3 linked regions of the Lepisosteus oculatus genome follow. The protein of the gene in region 1 interacts with the protein of each later gene in a pairwise test. Links are inferred from orthologs where the notes say so. Each region holds a gene or a part of one and is shown in the gene's direction. Other genes may lie near its edges.

The links.
Region 2: the proteins of apoptosis regulator Bcl-2 (region 1) and bnip3 interact in a two-hybrid assay, tested with the Homo sapiens proteins (2 studies listed by BioGRID and IntAct). The link is inferred for Lepisosteus oculatus from reciprocal best matches to the Homo sapiens genes BCL2 and BNIP3.
Region 3: the proteins of apoptosis regulator Bcl-2 (region 1) and bnip2 interact in a two-hybrid assay, tested with the Homo sapiens proteins (3 studies listed by BioGRID and IntAct). The link is inferred for Lepisosteus oculatus from reciprocal best matches to the Homo sapiens genes BCL2 and BNIP2.

What each region holds. Positions count from the first base shown.
Region 1 is NC_090701.1:10,513,538-10,520,734, forward strand, and holds the start of apoptosis regulator Bcl-2, read left to right. Parts: upstream 1-4,096; 5' UTR 4,097-4,186; intron 4,187-4,946; 5' UTR 4,947-5,048; coding exon 5,049-5,606; intron 5,607-7,197. UniProt on the Homo sapiens protein: Suppresses apoptosis in a variety of cell systems including factor-dependent lymphohematopoietic and neural cells. Regulates cell death by controlling the mitochondrial membrane permeability. Appears to function in a feedback loop system with caspases.
Region 2 is NC_090699.1:25,044,385-25,051,501, forward strand, and holds the start of bnip3 (BCL2/adenovirus E1B 19 kDa protein-interacting protein 3), read left to right. Parts: upstream 1-4,026; 5' UTR 4,027-4,190; coding exon 4,191-4,233; intron 4,234-6,145; coding exon 6,146-6,317; intron 6,318-6,865; coding exon 6,866-6,944; intron 6,945-7,117. UniProt on the Homo sapiens protein: Apoptosis-inducing protein that can overcome BCL2 suppression. May play a role in repartitioning calcium between the two major intracellular calcium stores in association with BCL2.
Region 3 is NC_090700.1:58,384,211-58,392,178, forward strand, and holds the start of bnip2 (BCL2/adenovirus E1B 19 kDa protein-interacting protein 2), read left to right. Parts: upstream 1-4,858; 5' UTR 4,859-5,519; coding exon 5,520-5,854; intron 5,855-7,968.

The sequences.
Region 1 (7,197 bases):
CTCCATTGAGTTCCAAAGTGGACATGATGAACACAAATGTGCTTCTGTTATCTGTGTTTCTATTACAACATAATTCCCACATCCTTGCTTAAATTGCTGAAATCACTTGAGTCTATTCTCCTAACTTGATTTTTAATACTAAAAACTACAATATTCAAGTTTTCCAGTTTTTAGAAAAATATAAAAATCATTTAAAGGGGTGTCTGTTGTGTCGTACCTTGAACAATTCGTTTGAACAATTCTAATGTGCTTTAAATTAAAAACAAAATAATGTGGCTTCTCACGGATTGTGAAAGGCAGTGTATACTGTTTTCACAGATCAATTGACACGTGTCATTTTGAAAACGATAGAGAGAAAGTGCTGACTAGACAAGTTCATTGTCTGCTCTGGCATAATTAATTAAATGCAGACGCCGTTAATCTAGTAAAAGCACCTTGTGTTATTAGTCTTACAATCCTTCCCAGATTAAGGTCCCTAATCAGTGTTTTGAATGTGTACAGATCCTTACAGCAGTGTTTAAAATAAGAGGATCCCCAAGGTCTGTGATACCACTGATTGACAGCCGCCGTCTGGAATAACCTCCTCAGCTTCTCTCTTCCAGCCAGTGGAAAGTGACTCATTCTGTAGTCTGATTTTGTCAGGTCTCAGAAGGTAGGCAAAAAATTGGGAGAGATCTCGGTGGATCCGTAGTTAACACTTCAACTGGTGTGGGGTGACTACTTGGTCATTAAAGATCCCCACTCTGGGTGTGTAAAGCCTGGAGTGACTTCCCTCAATTCCCCTCTTAATTCAATAGATATTTGAGTAAATTCTCACTTCTCTGGGAGTGGGATTGGGGCTGTTGTACATCCCCTTGACAGGGGATTGATTTTATCATGGATGAAGTGGGTCCCCTCCTGGATGTGAAGGACGTTTGAATCTTTCATGATGAAAAGTCCTATATAAATGCAAGCAATTCTTATGAGAATAACAGGGAACAAGTCACAGTGTCTGCAAAGTGCTTTTTGTTTTGGTCAGCCACCACATCTAATGCCTGCTGCTGGCCATTGAGACTGGTTTTTGTTATTTAATGATAAAATTGTACAGTATATTGTGGAAAACAAACCTTCTGAGTCCATGTTAAGTCAGAGTCTTTGCAGGATGGGTTGTTGTCCTTAACGTGTGCCTGTGCTGAGATAAGAGAAAGAAAATCAGCAGCCATTCCTTCCAAAAAGGTCTCTGTTGGTTTTAGTTGGATATGTTTAATAGTTTTGCTGTTTATGGAGTGCCTTACAAAAATATTCATCCCCCTCCCATGGATACCCCATTATGCTGAATAACAAATGATGCATTCACATTTTTAACAAACGTTTAAGTTCAAGCTTGAATGCTCAAACGGAACACTTTGATGGATGAAAACAATTACGTCATTATGTCAGCAAAAACTGCAGAGAACCATTTAAAAAACAGAAACCTGTCACTTGTCAGTGCCTGCCCCCTTTGCTATGGGAAACATATTAGATCACGAACAGGACGCTACAAAGCTACTTTGACAAGTCACACAACTGAACCTCATCATGGATTCAAGTTCTGAAAAAAAAAAGCACATGCAGATTTCATCTGGTTCCTGGTTGGACATGTGCTTGGAGACTTCTCACACCAGGCGTGCGATTTCAGTTAACAAGAACGTCATTGTTCCCAGCCCGGCACTTCTGTTTCAGTTCAAGGAGAAACGTGACTGTTGGTGACCTATTAGAATTGCTCTGCTCTGTTCATTGTGTGAGAAAAGCAGGGGCCCAGTTCCCATAGATCCCGCTCCTAAAGCCTGCTCAGAGACTTGACGACTCGTGTCAAGATTAGATCAGGTATTCTGTATTTTACCGTCGTGGCTCTGTTGTTGTGTTTTACACGGAGCTGCCATCGCCGTTAAGACTGTTTTTATGAGGTATTTCTTACATGTCTAAGACTGCCCACTGCTGAATAAAACGGATATACAACAACTTAAAATTCTGGAATTCTGTGATAAAATTAGTTAGAACAATTTACGGTATTTTATTTTGTCCGGAAAAAAAAGTCTTCCCGAAACTGGCGTCCTCTAAAAGCAGGGAACACATTTTAACATCCAGTAGGTCTTTTCCCAGCTGGCTCTTCCTGGTGATGGAAGGAATTTAGATACAGATGGTTAAAAAAAAAGACAAATAGAATTCAGGACAGATGGACATAATGACGTAGAAAGGAAACCCCACTGAAAATAACAGAATTGAAAGCAAAGGAGAAAAATCTTCTAAATCCAAATGTAAATCTTGAAATCGTTAATCCAGCTTCTTGTTTGCAGTGCCTTCTACCAAAGAAAAGTAAATGAGACTGATACCCTTGGAAACTGGAACTGCTTATGCATGAAGAATGATGACAGCCTGTTACTACAGCCTCCTAAAAAATTAAATCTAAAAATCCATTTTCCAGATGGCATTGGCGTCTACCAAATGTGTGCCTCAAAAATCTGGACGAGAAAATGATTTTCAAATGAGGACAAGATTAAAATTCCTTGAAGACATTAATCCACAATAGAAAAGGATTCTCACAATGTAAACGCAATGCATTACAAAAGTATTTACTCTTTTCCACTTTGTGAATTTATGAATCGTGTACACAGATTTATAAAGTGAATAGTTTTAAATCCATTCAGCTAAAGCCATACAACTAATGGTGCGACTTGTCACTGTAATTGTGTGCGCCCAAATTAAAGATGTGTCATTATAAAGGGTGTGAATCAACTTTTTATTTGATTTTTTCTTTGCAGACACTTCACTTCTTTCACGCACAATGAAGTTTCGAGCATTTACCTTTCGATTAAAAATAAACACGTTAAAAAAGGTGTAGAGAGAATTTCTAATTCAACAACATGGAACATCACTGGAAGGGGTGAATGTTTTTACAAGGCATTGTAACTGCAGACCGATTCCAGACTGATTTCGGGAATTCAGCTTCGATAGGATGTCAGACGTCTTTATTTTTCTCATTAATTTCATATGTCATGTAGAATTCCCGCCTCCACTCTTCAGTGCATCATTTATCTCAAATATTTTACGTAAAGTATATATATGTACAGTATATGCACGGTTCGGTATTTTAATGGTGTTGGTTAACAATTGCCCCCACTTTACGATCCTGAATAATTGCTTAAAAATATACTGTAGGATGATTAATATTGTAGCGAATTCGAGTTCTCTAACTGCTAAAGTGCACTCTCGAGAAACACAAGCTTTGGCATAGATTTATATTATATATGACATTTACCTATTTAAAATGTATTTCATTTGCACTTACTGTAAAATCATTCAAATCCGTCTTCGGTAAAGAACTCGCTCGCTTGATATAATTTTGGCGACATCGATGATCGTTTTTGTGGTACAAACCTAATTGTGGTGCAAACAATATGTTCCGAAACACAAATGGCAGCGCCGGGGAATTAACGATATTGGACTTGGAACCGATGTTAAATAATAAAAATCGAGCGGAAATCTCACAACAGGTGAAGCAGCCGGTCGTACAGTAGCCCCGCCATCAAGTGCTGCCAGAGTAACTAAAAAAATGAATGGCGTGACGTAGAGGAAATACCTCACTCGAAAGGAGTAACGTTATATATAATGAGAGGCAGAGGGAGTGACGGCGAGTGCAGTTGTATCAAAGATTTGTTGCTCACATACTATGTAACTGCAGCTTTAACGTAGTTTTTGCCGTGACGGTGCAAGGAGCAAGGCTTAGTGTTATTTTCTTTCTAAACTTGAGATCTTTTTAATACATTCCTCGGCGTCTTTTTGTGTGTGTGTGTGTGGGAGACTCTCCTAGTCGATTTACTTAATCTGGGATAAAAGGCATTTCGAAAGCTACTGCTGTCTCTTCCGTCTTTCAAAGGCGCTGTTCAAATGTCACTGGGATAATTCAGCGCCGCAGGACAGCAGTGCGGTTTCGTCCAAGTTTTGGATGTGTTCAAGTGATTATCTCGAATTAGGAATCTAAGTGGATACTTCCCAAATTGCTGGATTTGTGGAAAATATATTCTAAAGGATACGCGAAAACTTGGTACTTTTTTTTCCCACGGATCTTTCTCATTGCTGAAAAGGGGCGTAATAATTAGAATAGATCAAACATTCCTGGCGGATTGCTTGCGGCTCTGGAGCTGTCTAAACGCCTGTAACCGATGAAGTAAGTTACCCAAAGTTTATAAAGCGATAGCGCGGGATGTATAGGCAAAGTAGAAAATAGATGATAAAATTCGGTTGTAGGAAAATGCATATTTAAATCCAGATAGACGATATTAGCTCCGACTGTTTTCTCCGGCATTAGAAAATTGCTCTCCTGGTTACGAAGAGTAGTGCATTCACCGCATAGCACGATTTCTTGATGTTTGACATTCATTTCTTTTAGAACATTTTGGTTTGTAATGAAGACTGTCAAGTCTGCGGGAAAAAAAAGGTGAAGTGTTAAGTATATGTTGTAGCTGCAGTTTACGTGTTGCAATGCACTTAAACGCAGGTTTTTGCAAATAGTAGAACATTGCGGGTCACCCAATAAACATGCTTTCTGAAAAATATAGAATGTCGTATTAATTAAAAGTACGTTTTTCAAAGTTTGATAATGCCTATATTGGGGCTTCTGAAGCCGGTGTGGAAATGATCGGTAAAGGGCAAACTTCATTCTTTCTACAATGCACACGTCTAAAATGCACCGATATTAAAGTGCGTGTTTAACTCGGGTAATATTTTTTATTTAATTAGGGTGTTTGCATTGGAAGATGTCTCTAATGTGTCTGGGTTTCGAACAGCCGCGGTGTTTTTACAGCATGGCGTGTTATTGATCCTAGCCGCCTTTTTGATATTGGTATTTTTAAAGACTGGTGGGAACACCAGAAATAATGTATGCATTGAGTCTGGTAGTAATAATCATCTGTATTGTTGAATTACAGAATATATAGCAAGCCGTTTACGAGTTTCTGTTGGAAAATGCACGTGGCATAGGACTGCTTGGACTTGCTGGGTTTGGTCGCGGCATTTTGAGTCCCTAAATAATGGCAAATAACGAAGCCCCGTACGATACTCGGAATATCGTGACAAAATACATCCATCACAAACTCCTGAAGAAGGGCTACGTGTGGGAATCCCGCGTGTCCGGCGAGACCGATCCCCCCAATAACGGATTGGTGGGCCCCTCCGCCTCGGGTCCGGGGCTGCAGGCGCGGCGGCTCCAGGCTGCCGGGGCCGAGCGCGGAGCTGTCCCGGTCCCCCGCCGGACCCCCCCGCCCGACCCCCACGCCGCTCTCCACAAGGTGCTGCGGGAGGCTGGGGACGAGATCGAGAGGATGTACCACCGGGACTTCGCGGAGATGTCGGATCAGTTGCACTTCACCCCCAACACCGCCCGGAGGAAGTTCACCGCGGTGGTGGAGGAGCTGTTTCGGGACGGAGTCAACTGGGGGCGGATTGTCGCTTTCTTCGAGTTCGGCGGGACGATGTGCGTGGAGAGCGTGAACCGGGAGATGACGTCCCAGGTGGACAACATTGCCAACTGGATGACGGAGTATCTCAACGGGCCCCTTCAGAACTGGATCCAGGAGAACGGAGGCTGGGTGAGTTTGGTCACAACGTGCAAAAAAAAAAAAAACAATAAAAAATAAATAAATGCAAAGTGTAATTGAGGTTTTGCAAGATTCCCTGTTTTCCTCAAATTTCTCCCTTCCTTAATGATCTCCGCAGAATCGATTTTTCCCCATAATCTCTTGTGATAGTGTTGCCTAATTTGTCGCACCATTCAATGCACGGTTTGAGTATTCAGGTTATACCCCAAATCCACGCACATACCTGCTGAAATGACAAGGGACACGCCTAAAACCTGTACATTTCCTTGTCTTTGTTAAATGGATTGAAGAACATGCATAAAAGCCTTGATTGTCCCTCACAATGGAAAGACATTTCCTGTCATCTGTGTGGCGAAGCCTGCTCTGTAAGAGGTCACCTGTCCGAAGGGAGCTCTGACCAATTAGGTGCGCGTTCCCTGTCACACCCCCTTCACGCCTACTAGACATGACGAAGGGTTGCCGTGTCGTGAGCTGTCAATTTCAGCCTGTGATGAAACTGGGAACATACAGTACTTCACTTCCAGGACATCTGGGCTAATGTCACACGAGTGGTTCGGAAGACACGTTAAAAAGAAGGTTTATAATTCTGAAAAGAGGGCTCGCCCAGTCCACAAGGGTTTAATTTGACGCCTTAACTTGCTCGGGAGGAAGGGGCGTACTAAGGTGTTTTACAGAAAGCCTTAGAAAATGTTGTATAAAACATTGAAACTTTCATAACACCTGACTTAAACAGTTACTATAACCTATTTCTGCTTATTTGGTAACGCTCTTGCTAAAACACTTTAACGTACAGAAAAATATTATGACGAAAAAAAGGCAGCCTCGCTTCACTGTAGTAACACGTATCTGCTTGTGCTATGAGGGAGTTTTTTTTTTAAGACGGGGGATACCAGCAACGTTTTCTTTGGTTTTCAGGATTCTGTGGTGACTAGTGGCAATTTCCCAAAACATTTTGTCACTGCAGATATTTACTAGTCTCTAAACTATAACTGGATTATAGCTCCCATATGAAGTCTTGCTGGTTTCTAAACCTTAAATCACTGTGTTGATCACAATATTATTTAAATAAACCACGTCTGCATTTAAATAAATGTGACATCACCTTCAAGAATGCAGCCACAGAGGAGATCTACAGCTTGCAGTTGTCATACATTCTCTCTGTTTGTTTTTGGGGTTGAACAGTCGATGCATCAGTCATTATTCCCATGATATCTGATGCTGTGAAGACATTAATCACATCTTCTGCAGGAGTGTGTTCTATTGCTCTTTTCATGTTGAAGAAACTCTTGTCATGGGTATACTTTGTGTGGTTATACAATGAAAGTCAGAAGAATACAAAGACCAATGAAAATAAATGAACGAAGCAGTAGTATGGACTGCTAAGGAACTACCCAAATCTTGTTTGGAGATCTAGGTGACTATGATTTATTTAAGCATTTCTAGTGTGAAATAGTTATTCATCAGACGTGCCTGGGAATTAATTAAATTTGAGTGAATATAATGTTATTATTAACAAAAAGTGAATACGTGCATTTTTGTTGCAGGGAAATACTGCTGATGTTCGAGACTGGTCTAAGACTAT
Region 2 (7,117 bases), on another chromosome or scaffold:
AAATACAAATACAAATACTGAGACCAACCTTAAAGCCATGATCCCGTTATGTTGTACGCTCTCTGGCTGGTTTACCTGGGGAGCTGTTCTAGTATTTGAGGAAGTGCCATTTGCTGTGTGCAGTGATGGACATACTAAAATAAAACTGCAGGCAGTACCTTCCACATACATTAACAACATTCATCATATGGCAAATATAAAAAATCATCACTGCAGCATGAAATCTAATGCTGCATCCAAATTCCTTGAATAATGGAAGCAGTGGATAATGATGCATCAAAAAATGAAAAAAAAAAAGCCCTGGGAAGCATTTAAAATCAACCAGACAGGATTATCTTCTTACCATGTACACACCCCCAAAAGTAAAGAATCAGGCCGACAGGAGCAGAGGCAGACTAAGGACGTATTTCACGCAGAAGCTGCAGTTTCCCAGTGATGCGCTGTGAGCTTGGCTCCCTCCTGGGAGAATGAGCTCATTGCTAGCTTCCACCAGCCGCCCCTCAGCCATTGCAGTGTCACTGCAGCTACAGTAGCTGCCGAGTGCAGACACGTCATCAAGGAGCACATTCGGCAAGCCGGCGATCCACCCTGCACAAGAAAAAATTCTCTTAGCACAGATAACCGTGATTAGGGAAATACAGTGGATGTAATGCACAAGGAAAGTGAGGCTTATCGTCTGCATTCAAGTGGATTTGCAGAATGTTTTACCACGCATGAAGAGGCCTTGCTTGCAGTTCTTGCTCTGTGGCGGTATTAGAGGCTGTCAAAAAAACCTCTGTGACTGCTGAGTGTTCAGCTATAATCATTTGCCAAAATAAATGTAAAACTTAAAAGCACATCACATTGACCATCTATAGTATATGGGTGATTATTTACAGTATTTTACAAAAACTGAACCTTTGCAATTCCTTTTTCTTTTTTTAACTTGCAAAAAAGGTTCACACTTTTTTGTGGGCATTTTGTCGTGGGTTTTTTTCTGATAAGAATTAAATTACCGCTTTCTGCTGCAGAATTTAATAATTATTGGTTAAAATATATACATTTTCTCAAGTATTCACATACAGTATAACATTTAACACTCATGGCACTCAAAGGAACAATAAAATACTTATTACCCCCTTCATATTTAAACTTGTGTTTGAAAAGTGATGCTTTTGAGAGTGAGATAGTAGTTAGGCTTTTGGCTTCTCTATTGCTGGGTAGCTCTTGTTCCATACTCTCACAACTCTTGGTGTGAAGATGTACCTCCTATTCTTGGTTTTAAAGGTATTTCCACATAGTGTCCTCTGAGTCATGTTTGACTGTTGATTCTGAAGACGTTCACTCAATTGAATTTGTCAGTGCCTTAAAGGATGTTAAATACTTGGATTATGTTCCTTTATAGTTTTCTATGTTGAAGACTAAAATACTCAGTTTTTTAAAGCTATCAGTGCAGGATGTTCTCTGAAGCTCCAGAATGTACAGTATATAGTTGCTGTTCTCTGAGCAGATTCCATACAAGCAACATCTTTTTTATAATGTGGTCATGAAAATGATAAACAATATTGTAAATAATGTCTAACTAGAGCTTTGCACAATTTCCAATGTAAAATCACTTATTTCAAATCTGGGGCTTTCAGGTACAGTATATATCCCAACATTTTATTTGCCTTTCTTATTGTTTCCCACATTGTCTAGAAAATGTAAATAGTGTGTCAGCATAAGCACCTAAGTCTATCATAAGTAGACTCTTCAAGCTTATCATTTCTCATTTTGTTTTTAAAGTTTATGATTTTGCTTCCTGCATGTAATACTACGTGTAAGAATACTTTTTACATGTGTAAATACTATGTGTAAATCTCATCTGCCAGGTTTCTGCCCAGTCTTTAATTTCCTGTAAATACCCATTCATCATTTTCTCAACTTTTCTGACATACTAAATTAGTTACTCTGTGGATTTTGATTTTTTTTACTCTTTGCATCAACTCAAACTGAGGTACTGTACATGAAGAGGGAAGACTGTCTATCCATCCATTTTCTAACTGCTTTATTCAGTACAGGGTAATGGAGGAGCTGGAGCCTATCCCAGCAATCAACAAGTGCAAGGCAGGATACACCCTAGACTGGATGCCAGTCCAAAGCAGGGCACACGCGGACACACACACACACCAGGGCCTTTTGCCAGAAGCCAATTAACCTACTAGTACTGTATGTCTATGGATTGTGGGAGGAAACCCTAGTGAACACAGGGAGAACTTCCACTCCTAGTTCTGCTTAATATTATTGCTGAGATAGTTGAAGAGTTTACAAGCACCACAGAAGGCTGCTTCATAAATAAGATGGTATTAGAAAATGTTTGCAGACAGACACATTATGTAGCTCAGGTGGGGAGCTGCGTCAGAATGCGCAGGCTGCAAAGGAAGAAGTAATAGGTTTATTCCATACTGAAAAGAGAAGAAAGAAAACACAACATTTCAGCTGTGGAGCCTTCTTCAGTTGTGTGTTCTTTAACTCTTCAACTTCACACCTGAAGAAGGCTCCACGGCCGAAATGTTGTGATTCCTTTCTTCTCTTTTCAGCATGGAATAAACCTATTACTTGTTCCTTTGCAGACATACATTATGACTATATTAAACTCACAGTTCAAATGTTTAGAAAACATAAGACTTGAGTAATCTGACATTGTTAGATATATGCAAAATCAGATTTTCTATAGCCCTCTTATAATATTCTTATGCATTCAATTACAGTTGATAGAACATTTGGGAAAATGTCTTGTTTTCTAATTGATTAAATATGTTATCTTAATATTATATGTAACTAATTCAATTATGAGCACATAAACATAACTAATTCATAATGAAAACACACAACAATTCACATTTAATATCAAAAGGCCTATGAGAGCACAAACTTTAGTTCAGTAATGTGATTCTCAGAATAGACGTGTATACACTGTGTAGCTGCATACAAATTACCAATGAAGTTATTGTGTAATGTAGATATAACCCCTGAAAAAGAGGAGAAAGAAGGACAACATACAGTAATGGCTTTCTTGAATAATGAAAACTGACTGATGATAGCATCATTGAAGGGGGCCCATCACCAAGAGAAGTTGCTGATAGAATGAGACATTGCTTCAGCAAACAACAGAGAAACCTAAAATCAGGCTCTGTTCAAGATAGACCCATCAGACTCAACTGCAATATAACAGGCGAGGCAACACGTTACAGTTAAAATTATTGGGAACCACCTAATACATTATCATATTAGTGGTGGTAGTTTTGCTAGGGGGTTTAAATTTATTGAAACAGAAGAATTTCTACAGCTATTGTGACTGAGATCTTTATACAGTGTAATAAAACTGATTAGAATAACTCGATTTTAATAATGAAATTGCATGTTGTTTTAAAAGAGAAGAGAAGGGTATATATCTTTAATCCTGGAACGAGAGGCGTTTGCACGTTCCTTAAATGAACAGGAACTGTATCCAAAATATTAATGGCCTCTTCTCATATACTGTAGAGCAATCGCGGCATTCCTAGATTTCACCACCTGAGGGCGCACTATCGAATATACAGTATTTCCTATGTTATGCCTGACAAGTACGCTGTATGAATCTGGCCGGGCTAAAGCCTTCTTTATAGTGGTAGTATATATACATATGTTTTGTAATCCACAAGCAACTGAAAATACAATTACAAAGCTTTTCAGTGTTATGATTGCTTTACGTCGCTTACAGTTAAACTCTTCACAACAGTTGTGTCTCGGCTCAGGAACGTTTCTTCATCTTCTTACACTGCCAATCAAGGATACAAGGAAGTTGCCTTTCGTTGTTAGCATTCTTTCGCTTTTAAAGCACGATAATAGTAACATAACTCAAATGACCACAAGGCTCGCCCTGTGTATAAATCTTTGCAGGACTGGGAAAAGGCGCAAGCACACAGTACAAATCTGCAGCTGAACTGCACGTTCTTTTTTTTCCCAATCCAGCCCCGGCATGACGTGGTCCTTTTCTGACCAATCGCGACACGGACTCCAGTAAATCAACAATACATTGCGTCACTGTGTTTTTGTGGGGGTCTGGTTCTTGATATATGCTTGTTACCCAGACCAAACAGACGCCAATTTGTATGAAAGTAGCGCAGGTGTAGCGTTAATTTAGCAGTACAGCTTGTGCACCACCTTTGTTGATAGAGGTGACAAGAAACATGTCGACAGAGAAGCAAAGTAACCAGGACGAAAATTTGCAGGGTAGGTTGCTGGTTTCTGTCCGCGGTGTTCAGTGTAGAGGCCTTGAGTGACAGCGATTTGTTTTGCAATGTTAGCGAAATTATGCAAGCCTTAAGGGTTGCTATTCATAATTTCCTTGGATTATAAATTAATGATAATTATGCACGTTGCTCAAATGCTGCTAAAGTGACGTTTCAGAGTGGAATGTAAACAACAGCAGAGCGCACAAGGTTTGGAGGCGATTTCTGTTGACTTTACTTAATTTCGATCTATCGTTTTGTCGTATTTGAAAATCAACTATTCTAAAATGACAGATTTTCAGATTTTTTTTCTAAAAAATTGTAACACTGTATATAGCTAGTTAAAGTGGAAATCAAATTCCAAGCAGATTGAATATTTCATCCCTAGTTAAGATTTGTGATTTAATCAATTGGTTTCATTTACAAGGTCGGTCTAAGCAGAGTTAAAACTCTTGTTTGGTGCCAAATGTGCTAGTATGAGATTTACAAAACTAGAATGGCGTAAGACTGGTATTTGTTCCCCTGTTTAGGGTTGGAATTTAAGCTATTTGTACCATTGTTATGAAAAAATACAAAAATACTGTTACATTTTTTGTAAAATCTCGGATGATGTTGAAATAATAATATAAGTGACAAGCAAACAATCCCAATTAAATTATTAAGAATCACCAGGAAAACAATCAGATGTATACATTTAAAATCATGAAACTAAACTTATATTTAAGAAGCTGGTGATCCAGTAAATGTAGGTTCGTCAAAGGCTTCTTGGTGAAACCCGAATACTTTTTTTTCCTGACCTCACCTGTGTCCACACACTCTCACCCTAACCATAATCTAAGAATAAGTGATAATTTAAGGTTTAACACAGACTTGGCTAATGTAGATTCACCAGTCACCAGTTTTCACCCTTGATGTTATCGTGTATTGTTATATCAAACTTCCATAATCATTAAATCTATACTTTCAGAACGTACAGTATGTACTGTTTTATCCCTTTGCAGTAGATAAATGGATTGTATCAGCCAATTAATTAAATTAATCTTAATACTGTTGATAAGAAGATATAATTTCAGGAAAACCGCATTTTGTTTATTTTTCCTTTTTCACTGAAGTAGGGGACTAAAAGAAAATAGGAGCTCATTTCATGTCAGTTTTTTACCACAAGCCAAACGTATTTTAATTATAATCTTGCCAGTCCATTATGCTTAAGAAATGGAACAAAAAGTTAATAATTACAAATGACTGAAGAGTGTGCGTTTGCAAACTTAAGTAGCTTTTGTGTACAACATTAGACACAATTTATGCATTTTTAAAAAAAAAGTATTGAGAGGTCATGTATTGAATATTGAACATTCACAATTAGCAGTTAATGTTGGTGGGATCAGTTGCACTCAAAGTATTGATTTTATCCTGTTTTCATACCCTTTCTGCTTTCAGTTCCTTAATGTAAAACAGTATCAGCTTTGAAACTGACTGATCAGATGACCTTGCAAAGTCTTTTTGTCCTATGAGTTCTTTATTGTCAATTGTAGCATTCTATTTATGGTCCTACCTAATGCAGCTATGATAAGGAACAAAAATAACCACAGACATGTTTTTTCTTTCAAGTGATGCAATAGACAGGAGTGGTTCTGATGCTCCTTTCCTTATTGGATAGTAGATTGTAAAAAAAATACAGTGATGTAAAGAGAGGGCACAAGCATGTGACAGTCAGCTGGTTCAAAAAGAACACTGTTTATTTGCATTAAAGTAAGTGCAGTATAAAGGGCTGATGATCTTTTAAAGCTGTCCTTTTTAAATTAGGCATGCTAGTGGTACTGTATGTGTGCTCATTTTAAAGTTTAAAATTATAGAGCTTATATATTTATACTTACTGGGTGTGATTTGTTGTGTTGTTTTACATGTTCCTATAGGTTCTTGGGTGGAGCTGCACTTTAATAATAATGGAAATGGGAGTGTTACACAAAATGGAGGGCAGGACCAGGTGCCAGCTTCGATTCACAATGGAGACATCGAAAACATGCTTCTAGATGCACAGCATGAATCTGGCAGAAGTAGCTCCAGAGGAAGCTCTCATTGTGACAGGTATAAAAGTAGATTACACTAATAGGTGGTCTATTAAATTTAGAAATCTTTCAGATTTTATGTAATACATGAAGAAGTACACTTAAAGGATTATACATTTATTGTACCAAATATAGATGTTTATGCATTCTGCTAGGAGTACTTAATTGTTATGAAGCTGGGAATGCATTATCATACATCTTGTTTTGCAGTAGACCTTGTTTGATGCTGTCCAGTTAAGTTAATATTGAATGGACAGCCAAATTGATTTTTGCAGGACTGATTTCACGGGGTTCATGATACTTTCCGATTACAGGCATGCATTAAAAAATGCAGCCTATACATAACAGGAAAATAGTAATAGTGAACAAGGGTGAGTTGATAAAAAGACTTCACACATATCTTTAATTTAAGATACTAGATAGCTATTTAGCTTACAGTCATAAGCTTTTATACATGTGATGGAGACTGTCTCTGCTTTCATTAAAACATTGTTTTAAAGCAATGTGTAAGACATTTTGTGTAATGTTTCAATTACAGTCACTTACCAGTGCTTTTCTTTAATTTAGTCCTCCACGGTCTCAGACTCCCCTTCATCTCCGGAGAGGATCTGAGGTGCACAGCAGTGGAGAGAAAAACAGCTCTCAGGCAATATATTTTTTATATTTCATTATTGATTGATTTGAATAGAAATACCCCGGCATCTTGGCTAAATTTCCCATTGGCCTTTACCAATCATGGCCTCCTAATAATCCCCCTCTATGAATTGGCTTCATTACTCTGCTCTCCCTCCCACTGATAGCTGATGTGTGGTGAGTGTT
Region 3 (7,968 bases), on another chromosome or scaffold:
CATCTACAAATGAAGGTTATGCTGTTCAGTAGAGGGGGATGTAATGGAAATGTAAAACCACAAATGCTGATAACTATCTGTGATGTCAAACACTGCGGTGCTGCACTGTACATAAACTCTATTCACCAGTTCATCCGTGTTTGTAGATCTCTGAAGCAATTCAGTTGGACACAGTAATTAAATAAAGGAAGCAGCTCCCATTTCCTGTGCATTTTCACCATTAATCATCATCTACATCTCCATATCCCTTCATAATAATAAATAAAATTGTAAAGAGGGATAAGTTAAATGAACGCAATTACTTTTTACAGGGGGAAACTGAATTCATAGATCAATTTTTAATAGTTTGGTTTGTGTTCAGCTCATAGTCCTTCAGAGTGTCCAAATAATTGCATTCTGTGGAGTTTTTTTTATATTTACAGTGCCACTTCTTCTGTTTGCACTCGTCTCTATAAAATGAAAAAGATAGTAAACCTTGTCACTTTAAATCTAGTTCCTAACAGTTCCATTCATTATCAAACAACAATTTATTATATTGAAGCATATGTAAGTAGTTTACAAAAGTCTTGTTAAACAATGATTTATCAACATTTTTACACATGTAAATGCTTATTGCAGCATCTATAGGCATAGACATTTTTCAGAATAAAGGAGAACTAATGAATAACTCTGTACTTTCATCCTTAGCCTTGACACTGTATTCTAGCATACTAAAAGAGACTATTTTTCATATTCACATATATACAGTTAGTACTATTGTCCCAGATGTCCATTAATACTGGACTCTACCAAAGAGTGATGAATTACATAACTAAACGTTCTATCTCTTAAGGCATCATATCAAGTAAAAATTAAATATTTAGGAAAACGTAAATGTTTTGTGTTTTAGACAGTTTAGTAACTATTGAAAATCTATCAAGGTATTTAACTTTGCTCTGAATGCTTTCTGATATACATTTATATTTATATTTATATCTATAGTTACATCTATATTTATATTCATATGTGTGATACGATTGTCTGTGTAATGTTCTGTTCTAGTTTGTTCTTGTGTGTCCAGACTGTGAGTAACTCTTGTATTGTATTGTATGTATTGTACTATTAGTATATAATTCGTTACACTGTGGCTGTGTTGTCTGTGTTAAGCTGCTGTTGCACTGCAATTTCCCTCACGGGATCAATAAAGTATCAATCTATATGATATGACCTTGTATGTTCAGGCAGTATAGAAGAAAGGGAGGAATACAGGTTACCAGTCAAAACAAAATAAAAACCAAGACAATACTGAGTAATAATCTAATCGTAATAATACATAAATAGTTTAGGTAGATTAAATCATGTTTGCTTCAGATACATTTGGTCTTTTGGACTCTCAGGTTAATCTTGTTAATGATATAATCAAGATTTTTTGGGAGATACATTTTCCAAAGACAATGAAAGTAAAAAAAACGTAGGTTTTAAAAATGATCAATAAAGATGAGTACATTTAATTGGTTTAAATTAACAAGAATTTCCGTTTTCTTTCTTGAGTGAATTATTTTCTGTGACTGTATAGATATACATTCAAACTTTAATGTCTTATCTGAAAAGATTTGATAAACTAATATCTACTCAAATCTATTTTGTCTCAATATATAACTAGCCACAGGACAAGTCTGAATATGAATACTTTTATAGACGTACATTTTTGAAGTAGTAAATATTTAGAATCAAGAACATAATTCAGCTTGTCCCTTGGCGGATAGCAGAAGACAAATGATTTTAACCTGGTTGTCTCCTACCACCTAGTGGGCATTTCAAGAAGACTGCTTCAACAGTTGAATTTGCATTTTTGTGGAAAAATCAGTTAATTATGGCGAGACTTTCTAAACCATAAATATCACGTCAACATTGAAAAATATGTAGTAATTTATTTTCATTAATCTATCTACTAGTTTATAACTGCCACAGACGAATCATTTTTCAACTATTAATTTCTGGAAGCTCTCAAAAATACCAACCGCCGTATTTTCATCTAAATAACAGTAACAAAATGGCCAATTTCATATTTCATTTAATTGGCTTTCCTCGTGGCAATGCAAAAGAAGGTGTAATATTTTCCAAAATAAAAACAAGCAAATACAGTCCAGGAACGTTTTTACGTTGCGTTTAAGTTAAAACTAGAACACCCACATAAAATGTTAAAGGCTCATATGTTTAGACGTCACCTTTGGCCTCTCACCTTTCGGGGGGTGCATTCTTGAGACATGTGTACAGTCACCATGTTTCTGTACACCGCAACGAAAGTACACGTGTGAGGGCCACCTTGAAGATTAAGTGAATTAGGTACAGCTAGGAAGTCCCCGAACATCTGGCAGTGCAGTTAGTGTACAATATATCTATCAATGAATTGGTAGGAGGAATGAAGTGTGGTGCACTCACAGAAATACACCAGGAGGTGGAGTCTCACTCACACGAGCAGGGTGAAACGCGGGCTCCCTCTGTGCTTGGCCTGAGCCGTGCGCCCTGTCCAGGTCGTCAAAGCAAAGCTACTGTTGTGATGTTACGAAGGCTAAGGAAGGAACGTGGCAGACGAAATTCAGATCAGAAAAGAAAACATATAACTGTCCCACTATTCAGTCAGGAACACGCTGCGTGGAACTGGGCTGCTTGCGTTATCCGTATCAAAATCAGTTTTGCTAAATTAATTTGGCTACTTTATGACACATTTTGAGGGCGTAACTGCCAAATATGACCGATTTCAACTAATAATTGAAACTATAAAGTGCCTCAACGACAGAAATTAAAGATTAGCATACTATGAATACTATGTCTAATTGTAAAGCACATACTCCTATATACGAGGAAATTCATAATTTGTGAGGTGTATCAATTATTACAGTATTATTACACAAACTTAAAGCTTTATGGACTGTGCCAGTAGAGGGAAATTCAATGTCGTAATGATTTCGGATACAGTGCCAGAGGCGTTAAATAAAGTCTGCAATATATTGTTAAATATCGAATTACAACAATATTCTTTGTTAAATGCCCAACTGGTTACAATTCTGATAACAATTATGGGCAAAATGCTCACCATTTCTGTAAAACATGTTTACGATGAAGCATTGTACACTTACCTGTAGCATGTTTCATTGGAGCTCGTTTGTCACCTATTTTTCAGAATACCGTTTTGTCTGTAATACTGCATATCTGATGAAGTTTTGAAAGAAATGTTCATTCAGGAAATATAGCAAAGGAGAGAGACGATTCGTGACGCGACTATGGTTAAGGGTGAGCAGACGTCCTCTTAATCCCGGACATACGATTTTCATTTTTCTTGATGCCAAATTTCTGGAAACTTTCCTATTCATAACTTTTACAGACGCTTTTACATTCAGACACTGCCTAAACCTACAGTTCCAGTTATACATTTAGTAGTAATAGATTCACACAGTTCAGCAGGTTATTTAATCAGTTTTGCACCTGTTCATCTGTATAATAAACTTGGACCCATAGTCATTGATATGCGAGTCCAAAGCTCTAACAGAAAGGGAACATTCATGACTGTAAAGACATTTCAAATACAATTCAACTGAAAGAAAACTAAACAGCAAATTGGTAGCTGATCTGCTAGTACTATTGGAACTGGTTATAGACTTGTGTGTTCTGTATATAGTAAGTGCACCTGTATAACAAAACTGTTCTTTATGTACTGTATATGGAAGGACTCTGCAACATCCTATAGAAAACATCTCGGTACAATTGTAAATTAGAGTACAGATTGGCGGAGAAGAATTTCTGATATGTTTACATGCAATCTAAGACATTAGTCCTCTTTTTGAGATCTAAATATCGGTCAGACAGGGATTGATAAAGTTCCAAAAATTATCCGTGATTTTGTTTTGCTCGGTACTCAGACGGTGTGAACAAACATAGGCCTACATATTTTCGCACGGTCCCGGCATTACTGGTAGATGTTTTGAATTTACACGCAGCATAGCTTGAAAAGGGTTTGAGTGCGTATGTGGCTGTTTTTATGGCCATTAGAAATAACAATGTTTTAACTTGTTTCATCATTTTTCAAAATTAAATCATCGTTAAAATTGATCATTTTTGCAACCAATGAGGACTTCTCCTAAATTATGATGTCTTCATTTTTTCCTCAGATGTTAAGACTTTTGATGTGTTAAAATGGGAAAAAAACTAAGTTTAAAATATTTTTTTTCCTTGTTTGCTATTATGGAAGAGAATTAGTAACCCTGCAACTGTTTAAAAGTTTACTAAGAAGTTGAATAAAAACTAGAGAGTTTAAATTGATTTACTCATGTGGATTTACTGTCTGAAAAAAATGTTCTTCAAGATATTCTCTCACCTTGTTTGTCTAGGATACAACTTCCTAATGCCTCTGGTGACTTGTGTTTGCGGGGGATTTGCCACGACGCATACTGCAGGCCAAGGTGAAGACAACAGATACTCACAGGTATTTCAAGAATCATTTCCGTTATCCAGGTGCGTGGTTTCTGTGTCAAGCTTACAAGCCGGAGATTAGGCGACATGTGAAGATGGAAAATTCAAAGGACGAAATAGTGAAATAGTTGTGCGTTCTGAGTAACCACATCAGAGGCGGATGATACAGCTTCCCTTGGGCTTTTTTAAAAAAAAAACCAACACCTTCATCATTATTTTATGTTTATTTTACTTTATTCACATAAAAGAAATACTATCCTATTACAGGGCGTTCTATAAAAGCCCCATCCTGCAAACACATTTAATACTGGTTGCTGAAGGGAATCAGAATAGGCAAGTTTTTGGCCGTTTTCGCAGCTTTCATTTTTTTTTTGGTGAACTTTTAGGTGTTCCTTCCTTGCACCATAGAGGGCAGTACCGCAGAAATGTGGCCGTCAAGGGGAGGAGAGAAGCGCAGGGCTTCCCGAGTAACGGGGTAGGCAGCGAGCAGGCTGACGGACTTGACCAGCAGCCGGTCAGATCCACTGGATGGGGAAGCGAGGTGCAAAAATGAACGGTCGGTTTTTCGCTTCCTTAAATGCGGCTGCAGGACCTAGGCGGTGTTAAAAAAAAAAAAGATCGCTTTCCGGCGTCCGCGATTCACCATGGGGAGGACTTAGCGAGAAGTCGGCTTGGTGCTGGTAGTTTCGCCCTGTTGCAGACTTTTCCAGGACAGGAAGGAAGGAAGAGGGGAGGGGAAGCGGACTTGAGCACAGGAGCTGCTGGGCCATACAACAGGCTCGCAAGTCAACCAAAACAGAAAGGTCCTCTCTTTTCCCGCACGTCAGCCCGCCGGAGCCACCAGAACCGTGGCGTAGGGAAATCGGGAGTACACTTTCATAACGGTTTCAGGTTTAGCATTAATTAACTATCGGGTTTTTTTTTTGCTGTTGTGAAAGAAACGGGGAGGGGGTGGGGGTGGAGGAGAACTTGACACGCGTTGCGCTGCGCGGCGTCGGCGACAGTTTTTCGGCTCTTGAAGTTTCGGGGCTTTCAGCTGAAGGGAGACTTGAAAAGACGGTGCCGCCCTCATGGCAGCAGAAGTTACTGAGACTGAAGCAGGGGCAACCGGCGATACGGGCTTCAACGCAAGCAGCTCAGGCGCAGACACACCCAGGTTAGTGGAGAAGGTGGAGAACAGGCCGGCGGCTCCGGCTCCGGCTCCGGGGGAAGACGCGCCGCAGAGCGGGTCGGCACCTCCATCGGAGACTGCCGAGGGCGCAGCTCCGCGGACTCCAACCAAAACAGGAGGTCCGACACAGGAAGCCGGGACTCCAGACAATGGACGAAAACAAGAGCCGGCGGGGGTGCGAACTTCGACTCCAGTTAGTCACAGCCTGCCATCTCCAACAGCACACAATGGAAGGTGAGGGTGAGGGGAACAGCTTAGTTGTTTTTTTTTTTTTTGGGTGCGCCAGGTTTTACAATTTAAAAGGGGGGAGAGGGGAGTTGATTTTCAGTGTCTAGTCGGATTATTCACATTGACGTTAGTTTTAACGAAAGCTTAACGTGTTTCAGTTGGGTCTTATAACAGTGGGTTTAAATGCATAAAATTCTCTAATGCAAAACGTGTCGTGTACAGTTATACAAACGATGCAAAAAATGCAAGCCATGTACATTATAGGGTTTCACCTGTGTTTGTTGCAGGACGTGTCACTTGATGCCTACAGGCGCTAGGCTCTTTATCTCTGCTTTACCATGATATTTCGTATCAGCAAATACACTTAAAGATGCACCATGCTGGTAAGGTTGGTTGCATTGAAACATCCAAGTTTTACTGGATTCATTGCTGTTGAATCCGTATCAAAGTTAACTAAAAGTTTTTTTTTCCTGTGACGTTTGCGCGATAAAGTCCACACGATCAAGAGAAAAGAACGATGAAAACACCTGAGAAGAACCTGAAATACCGCAGAGCAATAACACTGATTTTTAGCACTAGGCTATATATATATTTTCTGCAGCATTTTACCACTGTTACGACTTTGGACATACCAATCAGTAAGAGAGGATTTCTAATAAAGTGGCAGTGTTAAAGCAGTTCGTTCACACACCTGCTGTTCTGTTCTTTCAGAATTCCTTTCAAAGACTCCTTTTTCTTCACAGATGAGCCTATGCAAGACTTGGCTAAGACAGTAAAAGAAATGGGTTTTTACTTCCTGCAGCTGTACATCAGAAATATGTGGAGGCCTGTGTTCTATAGGACAGCTGAAAGTGGCCTGTGATGATAAAGAGACCTTTTATTGCATCCAACAGAGTGCTGTTTTCCTGGTCAAGTTTTTCATTGTTCTTTGCTACAGCTGAAAATGGTTCCAAAAGTTCTTAAATTTGGAGATGCACATAAATAAGTTTTAAAAAGTTTGTTCCGAAAGCTTCAGTCTTTTAACATGGATTAATCTTCCTAATTTGTGAAGCCTGTAGGCTGCCAGGTCCGTGTGTCTTTGGGAGAGGACAGATTTGCTGAGGATAAACATTTCACATGAGTCCATTTGGTAAAAATAACCTGAAGGACCATTTCAAGTGCTTGAATGGTCCCCCACAGTTAAAACCTTATCAGCAGCTACATTTAAACTCTTGAAAATAGCCTTAGATAGTATCAGTTACGAATATTATTATTGTGGCATGTTGCCCCCAAAGCATGACAGTCCGCCCTTTAGAGTTGCCTTAAAAATAAAACCAATCAGGTTACTAGAAGAACAGCAATGGTTGGGTGAAGAGCAGACAATTTTGTGAATGCTATTTTGCAATATCTACAAGAACATATCCCGTTTTGCAGTTTACTGGTTTAATGGAGTAATTGTGGTTGACTTATACTGCAGTTATCAAATAATGGCACTTGTTACATTTGTAGCATTTAATTATTTTATAGGATGCTTATTCAGTGCAGAGTGCCAAACGGGCAGCTATCTTCAGACGACCAGCTGAATGCTGACAATAGGGTGAGACATCCCTCCCTCCTCTTTAGGAAAGAATGCGCAATCACCATATGGTTAGTGATGAGCTGCTTTATATCGGAGAGCATGTTCCTCCTCTCCAGTCCAGGAGCTGAGCATACGATCACTGCTTATGACCAGGGCCCAGTATAAAGCAAGCTTTGACCCATTCACCAATCACAAATGAGAGGCAGAGTAATTGATGCCAGGCTGCGTGATGTAAAAAGGCAAACTCTCTGGCAAACAAAGCCTGTCATGTACTTACTGCTGGCTATGACATTTGTGTTTGGTGTGGTATGTGGGGCAAAGTTTCATTTAATCCTTAACCCGTAAAATTTGTCATGTTCAATTCTTCTGTTTTCTGCAGTAGTGAAATATATAAATACCTAAAACGTGTAACCTTATTTATTTACTTTCCCCCAATATTCAGCAGGCTTTACTCTTAAATACATGTAGTTGACACAGAGTTTTTTAAAACTCATTTTATATATGCTGCTTCATCAAACACATCCAAAGAATAACTCAGCTGACTTCTTAAGCTTTCTCCCTA